Linked DNA regions of Macaca fascicularis. The protein of the gene in region 1 purifies or fractionates together with the protein of each later gene. This does not show direct contact. Links are inferred from orthologs where the notes say so. Each region holds a gene or a part of one and is shown in the gene's direction. Other genes may lie near its edges. The genes, in order: PPIE and AQR.

Region 1 (3,767 bases):
TCCACAGGTGTGAAATGGTATCTCATTGTGGTTTTTATTTTTATTCCCGACTAATGATGTTGAACATCTTTTCATGTGCTTGTTGGCCATTTATATATGTTCTTTGGAGAACTATCTCTTCAAATCTTTGGCTTATATATTAACTGGATTGTTTGTTTTGTTTTTTTAAGAGACAGGATCTTGCTCTGTCTCCCAGGCTGGAGTGCAGTGGTGAGATCATGGCTTACTGTAGCTTTGAACTGTTGACCTCCAGTGATCCTCCTACCTTGACCTCCCAAAGCACTGGGATTACACCTTGCCTGGCCATTTTGTTGTTGAATTACAGGAGTTCATTATATATTCTGGATATTAAACCCATATTAAATATGATTTGCAAATCAGCATTCTCCTGTTCTGTAGGTTGCTTTGCCCTCTGTTGGTACAGTTTTTTGATGCACATCTTAAATTTTAATTCACATCTAATTATTTTTTCTTTCACCTGTGCTTTTGGTGTGACATTTAAGAAACCATTGCCAAATCCAGAGTCATGAAGATTTGCCCCTATGTTTTCTTCTAAGATCCTTTGGTTTTTCTTTTAAAAAATCAGTTTCCTACCAATTTAGTGTGGTTTTGGAAGAGAAAAGAGCTAGAACATGTATATTCAATCCCCTTTCATCATAATCTCTTAGAGTCCTGGCCAGGTGTGGTAGCTCACACCTGTAATCCCAGCACGTTGGGAGGCCAAGGCAGGCGGATCATCTGAGTTAGGAGTTCTAGACCAGCTTGGCCAACATAGTGAAACCCCATCTCTACTAAAAATACAACGTTAGCCAGGTGTATGGCGCATGCCTATAGTCCCAGCTACTCGAGAGGCTGAGGCAGGGGAATGACTTGAACCCAGGAGGTGGAGGTTGCAGTGAACTGAGATTGTGCCATTGCACTCCATCCTGGGCGACAAGAATGAAACTCCATCTCAAAGAAAAAGAATCCCTTAGTCCTTACAAGGTTACTATCACAAAGGTTTATAATGAGTATCCCTTATTTTAAAACAAAAATATGAACATTAAACAAGTTTTTTTGAGGTTTTGTTTGTTTTATTTTGTTCTGTTTTTTAACCCCAGCGCTTTTTCCTTTCTCAATTCTAGAGAATTTCCGCTGCCTGTGCACCCATGAAAAGGGCTTTGGCTTTAAAGGAAGCAGCTTCCACCGCATCATCCCCCAGTTCATGTGCCAGGGCGGTGATTTCACAAACCACAACGGTACTGGGGGCAAGTCCATCTATGGGAAGAAGTTCGATGATGAAAACTTTATCCTCAAGCACACAGGACCAGGTGGGAGCCAGCTGGCATGTGATGAGGGAGGCTTAGCAAGGGTGGGATGGCCACGCAGGATGAAAGGACAGGTTGTGGTTCTGGCTGACGGGACTAAGAGTCTGGAGGTGACCCAGCCACCAGACGCAGGAGAACCATGCAGCCTTGCTAGGGTGGAGTTGGCTTGCTTATATTCAGGTATTATCCATCCCCCAACTGTGTCCACACTTCCCATTATCCCAGCTTGGATTCTGTGGTCTGCCGTTGCAAGCGCATATGCCCTCAACCCCACTGCTCTCCCTGCCCCTGCCATCAGATTTACTTAGTAAAAGCTCGGTGGTTAGTCCCCCAGCAACTAGAGAAAAAACACAGAATTGTACTGAACGATCCCACTTGAAATTTATAACTATAGTTCTTAAGGGGGCCCTTGCCAACCTGACCAGATTTCCCTACTTGATGCTCAGTCCCAGCCAGAGATGATGTGTCCATGCCTGTCTTCACTTCTGAAGCCTTATATCATCACCTTCCCACCTCATCTAGTGCTTCGCCTCCTGCATCTCTCCACTCGTGCATGCTCTTTCTTCCAATTACAGGGGATGAGCTCTCTCTCGTAGGCCAGCCCCTCCACCTGTGGACTGGATCCCATCCCTCTCCTCTAGTTAGGAACATGGCTTCTAAAGTTGTCCCCTTCAGTCCATTAGCAAGAAAGCATGCAGTTATCAACCTTTAAAAAAATCTGCATCCGGTTGCCGGGTGCAGTGGCTCATGCCTGTGATCCCAGCATTTTGGGAGGCAGAGGCAGGCAGATCACCTGAGGTCAGGAGTTGGAGACGAGCCTGACTGACGTGGAGAAACCCCGTCTCTACTAAAAATACAAAATTAGCTGGGCATGGTGGCGCGTGCCTGTAATCCCAGCTACTTGGAAGGCTGAGGCAGGAGAATCACTTGAACCCGGGAGGCGAAGGTTGCGATGAGCCAAGATGGCGCCATTGCACTCCAGCCTAGGCAACAAGAGTGAAACTCCATCTCAAAAAAAAAAAGAAAAAAGTCTTCATCTTAGTACTCTTGTTCCCTCTCCAGCTATCACCCATGCCTCTGGTCCCCCATCTTTTTTCAAGAAGTAAAAGCATAACTTCTTGAAAGCATGGTACAGACTTGCTGCCTTCGCGTTTTCTCTAATCCCTTCTAGCCAGACTTCTAGTCCCATCTTGCCATTGAAACCACTCTTCAAAGATACCAGTAGCCAGTTCTTGGCGATCATCTTATCCCACCTCCCAGATGTTATCCCATCTCCCAGGAGCATTTCATACTACAGGTTGAATGTCCCTTTCTTGAAATGCTTGGGACCAGAAGTATTTTGTATTTTGAAATATTTGCATTATATTTACCAGTTGAGCATCCCAAATTGGAATATCTCAAATCTGAAATGCTCCAGTGAGCATTTCCCTTTGAGCATCATGTCGGTGCTCACGAAGTTTCAGATTTTGGAGCATTTTGGATTTTCACATTTGGGATGCTCAGCCTATACTAACTGTGTGCTCCTTGACTCCTTCACTTGGCTGGCAGGACTCCTACCTCTTCTTGTCTCCTTTTACCTAGATGGCTGCTTTGTCTGTCTTTGCTGTCTCCTTCTTTTCCTGACCCTTAAACACTGAAGTGGCTCAGAGCCCATTCTTTTGTTCTCCAGAAGCCTGTTACCCTGTGCTCCGTTTTTCTAACTGGTGGTTTGTAGAGCCCCTCTTTACTATACTGAACCGATATGTGTAGGTGATATAGCCCACTGACCCACACCATTATTTTAAAACTCAATATATCTGTAACTATAGTAGGGAAGAACATCAGAGGAAATAAATGAATTTGCATAGTAATCGAATGTGTTTCCAGATGTACATGCTTAAGCACAGCTGTGTCAGAACACAAAGTGAAGTTATTCAGGCGTCTGCACCTGTACTCAAATGCAGAGTTAGAAGTGTAGACGGGAGTGTCAACTGATAACTTGGATACCACTAGCAATGATGCTATTGGTGATACGACTTTGTGAAATGGTAAAGTTGATTAGATTCCAAAGTAAAGAATAATCTGTTTATTTACATAGTAGTTACATTCCTAGAAGATTCCATGCAAAACCAAAAGAACTCCAAAACTTTGGGCTTATATGTATAATGCAATTATGTTTTAGGTGCAGATAACTGTAAACACATTTTTTCCCTATACCGATATCTAATGGGCTATTCGTTGTTTTGTTGTTGTTGTTTGGTTTTTGTTTTTTTGAGATAGGGTCTCTGTTGCTCAGGCTGGAGTGCAGTGGTGCAAGACAGCTCACTGTAGCCTCAACCTCTCCAGCTAAAGCAGTCCTCCTGCCTAAGCCTCCCAAACAGCTGGGATTACAGGTGCACGCCATCCATAATGCCCGGCTAATTTTTAAGTTTTTTTGTAGAGATGAGGTTTCATTGTATTGCTCAGGCTAGTCTGGAACTC
Region 2 (4,369 bases), on another chromosome or scaffold:
ATAGCAGCTTTATTTATAGTAACTAAGAACTTGGAACAACTCAGATGTCTATCAGCAGATGAATAGTTTATCAAACTGTGGTATGCCAGTAAAATGGAATGAATGTTAAGCAATAAAAAAGGAATGAACTACTGATACATGCAACAACATGAATCCATCTCAAAATCATTTCGTTGAGTGAAAGAAGGCATGCACTGTATTATTTCATTTATATAAAATTTCACGAAAAGCAAACTTTGGTGACAGAAAGCAGATCAGTGGTTGCCTGGAAAGTGGGTGGGAATAGTGAAAGGTACAGATTGCAAAAGTGCAGGAGGAAATTTTTAGGGGCTCATTATCATGATTTTGGCAACAGTTTCACAAATGTATGTTCATGTCAAAACGCATCAAATTTTACAACCTAAATATGTGTGGGTTATTGTATGTCAATTATTTTTATTATTATTTTATTTTTGTTTTTTGAGACGAGTCTCGCTCTGTCACCAGGCTGGAGTGCAATGGCACAATCTTGGCTCACTGCAACCTCTGCCTCCCTGCTTCAAGCGATTCTCCTGAATCCGAGTAGCTGGGACTACAGGCGAGCGCCACCATGCCCGGCTAATTTTTTTGTATTTTTTAGTAGAGACGGGGTTTCACCATGTTAGGGAGGTTGGTCTCGAATTCCTGACCTCAGGCAATCGGCCAGCTTCAGCCTCCCAAAATGCTGGGATTACAGGCATGAGCCACCGCGCCCGGCTGGGTTATGGTATGTCAGTTTTTACCGCCATAAAACTGTTAAGGCCTGTAATCCCAGTCCTTTGTGGGGCCGAGGCAGGTGGATCACCTGAGGTCGGGGAGTTCGAGACCAGCCTGACCAACATAGAGAAACCCCATCTCTACTAAAAATACAAAAATTAGCCGGGTGTGGTGGCGCATGCCTGTAATCCCTGTAATCCCAGCAACTCGGGAGGCTGAGGCAGGAGAATCGCTTGAACCCGGGAGGCGGAGGTTGCAGTGAGCCGAGATTGCGCCACTGCACTCCAGCCCGGGCAACAAGAGCGAAACGCCGTCTCAAGAAAAACAAAACTAAACTACAACACTGTTAAGGGCAGTTAAAAACCAGCCCATATTCCCAGGCTGTTTTTTTGTTTGTTTGTTTTGTTTTGTTTTTTCTTCGGGGTTGAAAAAAACCTAAATTCTCATTCACCGCACACGCTGCTCCTCACTAACCACGAGAAACCCCATCCAACACCATCCACCGGGTCCCTGCCTTGCCCTCCTAATCCCGCCAGCGGGGTGTCTTCTCTCTGCCGCCCGCTAGAGGGCGCGTACAGAGGAGGTCAAAGCTTTTGGCTCGCTAGCTCAGCCCCAACGCCTGCATGAACTTCCGGCTACACGCCATTCCGCTTCCCGGGGAACGCTTGGGCTGTAGTACGGGTTCCCTATGGGACTCTGAAGCCTGAGGATATCCGGCGCGCAACGTTTGTTCAGCGCGGAGTTAAGCGCCTCGGCCGTAACTTAGGGGAAGTGGACCAGGCTTGCCGCTGCCCAGGGCGGTCCTTTCGTTTCCACCGGAGTGGAGGGGAGCGTGCTACCATGGCAGCCCCTGCACAGCCCAAGAAGATCGTGGCCCCTACGGTGTCCCAGATTAACGCGGAGTTCGTGACCCAGGTGAGCTCGGGCGAGTCTGGTGTATGTGTGAGGGGGTAAGGACGTCGTGGCCCCGAGGCCTGGTGGTGGGGTTTTTTCTTTTTTTTTCCAGGACTAGGAGCACGGAGGAGGCATTCGTTTGTTAATTCATTCACACAAGTCTTTTTTGCTGAGTATGAGCTCCGTGCCGGCAGCTACGCTAGGTGCTGGGCATACCGTGGTGGATGGGTTGCCCTGGCCTGAGGGGTTCATGGCCTAAGAAAGACACATAGGCCGGGCGCGGTGGCTCAAGCCTGTAATCCCGGCACTTTGGGAGGCCGAGACGGGCGGATCACGAGGTCAGGAGATGGAGACCATCCTGGCTAACACGGTGAAACCCCGTCTCTACTAAAAAAATACAAAAAACCTAGCCGGGCGAGGTGGCGGCGCCTGTAGTCCCGGCTACTCGGGAGGCTGAGGCAGGAGAATGGCCTGAACCCGGGACACGGAGCTTGCAGTGAGCTGAGATCCGGCCACTGCACTCCAGCCTGGGCGACAGAGCGAGACTCCGTCTCAAAAAAAAAAAAAAAAAAAAAAAAAAGACACATAAAAAGAAAACTACTCTATGAGTTTTGCTGTATTGGAGTTTGCCTCAGGAGCAATTGATTCAGAGAGGAGGGAACACCCCAATCTATCTGAGACTGTCAAGCAGCCTTCGCAGCAGAGTGATGCTGGACTGCCTCTTCAAGTAGGAGTAGGCTTTTTCCTGGTCCGTAGAGTGTCCTGAGTTTTTGAGCAGCTATGAGAAACTGACAAGACACCTCCAAATAGACCCATTTAAGAAGAGAGTGATTCTGTAGTTGGAGAGCGTTCATTTAGAATCTGTTTACTATCTTGCATTGTGAGCCACAGTTGGCTTTGGATAGGGAAACACAGTCCTGTGGTTGTCAGCATCATTCCTCATTCTTACTCTTTATTTGCGAATTGCGTAAGAGTGTAAGTAGTTCAGTGTAGAAGTTATCATGCCCACCTGCTTCTTTATTCTTTATTCCTTGTCTCAACAGATTTGTCAGGGCAGAAGCCTAGGGAGAAATTTTGAATCCTCCCTTAATCCCTACATTTCTACATTCTGAGTATCTTTGGAATCTATCTGGTGTTCTACATCTCTGTCACCCTAAGCCTGGTTGCCATTGTTTTCTGCCTGGACGAAGGTATCCTAATCTGTTATATTGTTCTTCTTCTTGCTGTCCTCTAGCCCATTCTTCATGTTGCTTTCCGAGTGATTTTATACAAGTGCAAATCTCATCATATCACTTGCCTTCTTAAAATCTCTCCCTTCCTTTCCTTCCTTTTCTTCTTTCAAGATAGGGTCTCACTATGTTGCTCGGGCTCAAGTGATCCTTCCACCTCAGCCTCCCTTGTAGCGGGGACTACAGGGAACTACACTAAGGCTGACTGTCCTTAAAATCTTCAACCGGGCACGGTGGCTCATTCCTGTAATACCAGCACTTTGGGAGGCTGAGGCTGGTGGATCACCTGCGGTCAGAGTTTTAGACCAGCCTGACCAACATGGAGAAACCCCGTCTCTGCTAAAAATACAGAATTATCCAGGCGTGGTGGTGCATGCCTGTAATCCCAGCTTCTCAGGAGACTGAGGCTAGAGAATTGCTTGAACCCGGAAGGCGGAGGTTGCAATGAACCAAGATCCTCCCCAGAATAACTGGGGGTGAGGTGAAGATTTTCTATTGAGTTGGAGAGTGATTGGTAATTTGGGAAGGTGTTATTTATTTATTTATTTTTGAGATGGAGTCTTGCTCTGTTGCCCGGACTGGAGTGCAGTGGCTTGGTGTTGGCTCACTGCAATCTCCGCCTCCCAGGTTCAAGCGGTTCTCCTGCCTCAGCCTCCCGAGTAGCTGAGATTATAGGTACACAACCACCACGCCCGGCTAATTTTTGTATTTTTAGTAGAGATGGGGTTTTACCATATTGGCAAGGCTGGTCTTGAACTCCTGACCTCAGGTGATCCACCCGCCTCGGCCTCCCAGAGTGCTGAGATTACAGGCGTGAGCCACCACACCTGGCCGGAAGGTGTCATTTAAGTAGGAAGTTACTGTAATATTTTTAGAGGCTATTCCTCAGGGCCAGTGTCCTAACTGCTTGGGAGGCTCTTTAAGTGTGTTGTCTGTGCAGTTTATCGCTGAGCTATGAAAGCAAAGAAAACAGGTCCCATCTCTTAAGTATTCCAATTAAGTGAGAAGGAAAGTTGGATAAGCAATCATTTATAATGTAGAAAGGTAAGATTATAAAGAGTTATATACAAAATGAAGATGAAAAAGCAATTGTCGCCATCAGGTAGTGTTGAGGACAGCCTCACAGAAGTAACATTTCAGATTTTGCTTCATTTGTCCATCCATTTATCCATCAGACTTTGTGAGTGCCTCTGATATGCCAGATACTGCAGTCACCTTTTTATAAATATATTGAGTCTTTGTGCTTGCCAGTTTTCTATTTTTAAAGAGATTATAATTGGGTTTTAAAATAAAACCCTATGAGTAAGACTATGCTGTTTCTTTAAATATGTAGAGAGAGTTATATATTTGTTTAAATTTCACAGTTTACAGGTAAAGCCTAATCTGCTGAAATATGCCAACTCTTTTTTTTTTTTAATTTAAGTTTTTTTTTTTTTTTTTTTTTGAGACGGAGTCTCGCTCTGTCGCCCAGGCTGGAGTGCAGTGCCCGGATCTCAGCTCACTGCAAGCTC

What was found.
Region 2: the proteins of PPIE (region 1) and AQR purify together in Homo sapiens (affinity purification with mass spectrometry; 5 studies listed by BioGRID and IntAct, counting the BioPlex papers as one, with this or other methods). This does not show direct contact. The link is inferred for Macaca fascicularis from reciprocal best matches to the Homo sapiens genes PPIE and AQR.

Annotation. Positions count from the first base shown.
Region 1 is NC_088375.1:195,146,401-195,150,167, reverse strand, and holds the end of PPIE (peptidyl-prolyl cis-trans isomerase E), read left to right. Parts: intron 1-1,124; coding exon 1,125-1,615; 3' UTR 1,616-3,157; downstream 3,158-3,767. UniProt on the Homo sapiens protein: Involved in pre-mRNA splicing as component of the spliceosome. Combines RNA-binding and PPIase activities.
Region 2 is NC_088381.1:11,494,868-11,499,236, reverse strand, and holds the start of AQR (RNA helicase aquarius), read left to right. Parts: upstream 1-1,440; 5' UTR 1,441-1,575; coding exon 1,576-1,650; intron 1,651-2,672; exon of another isoform or gene 2,673-2,819; intron 2,820-4,369.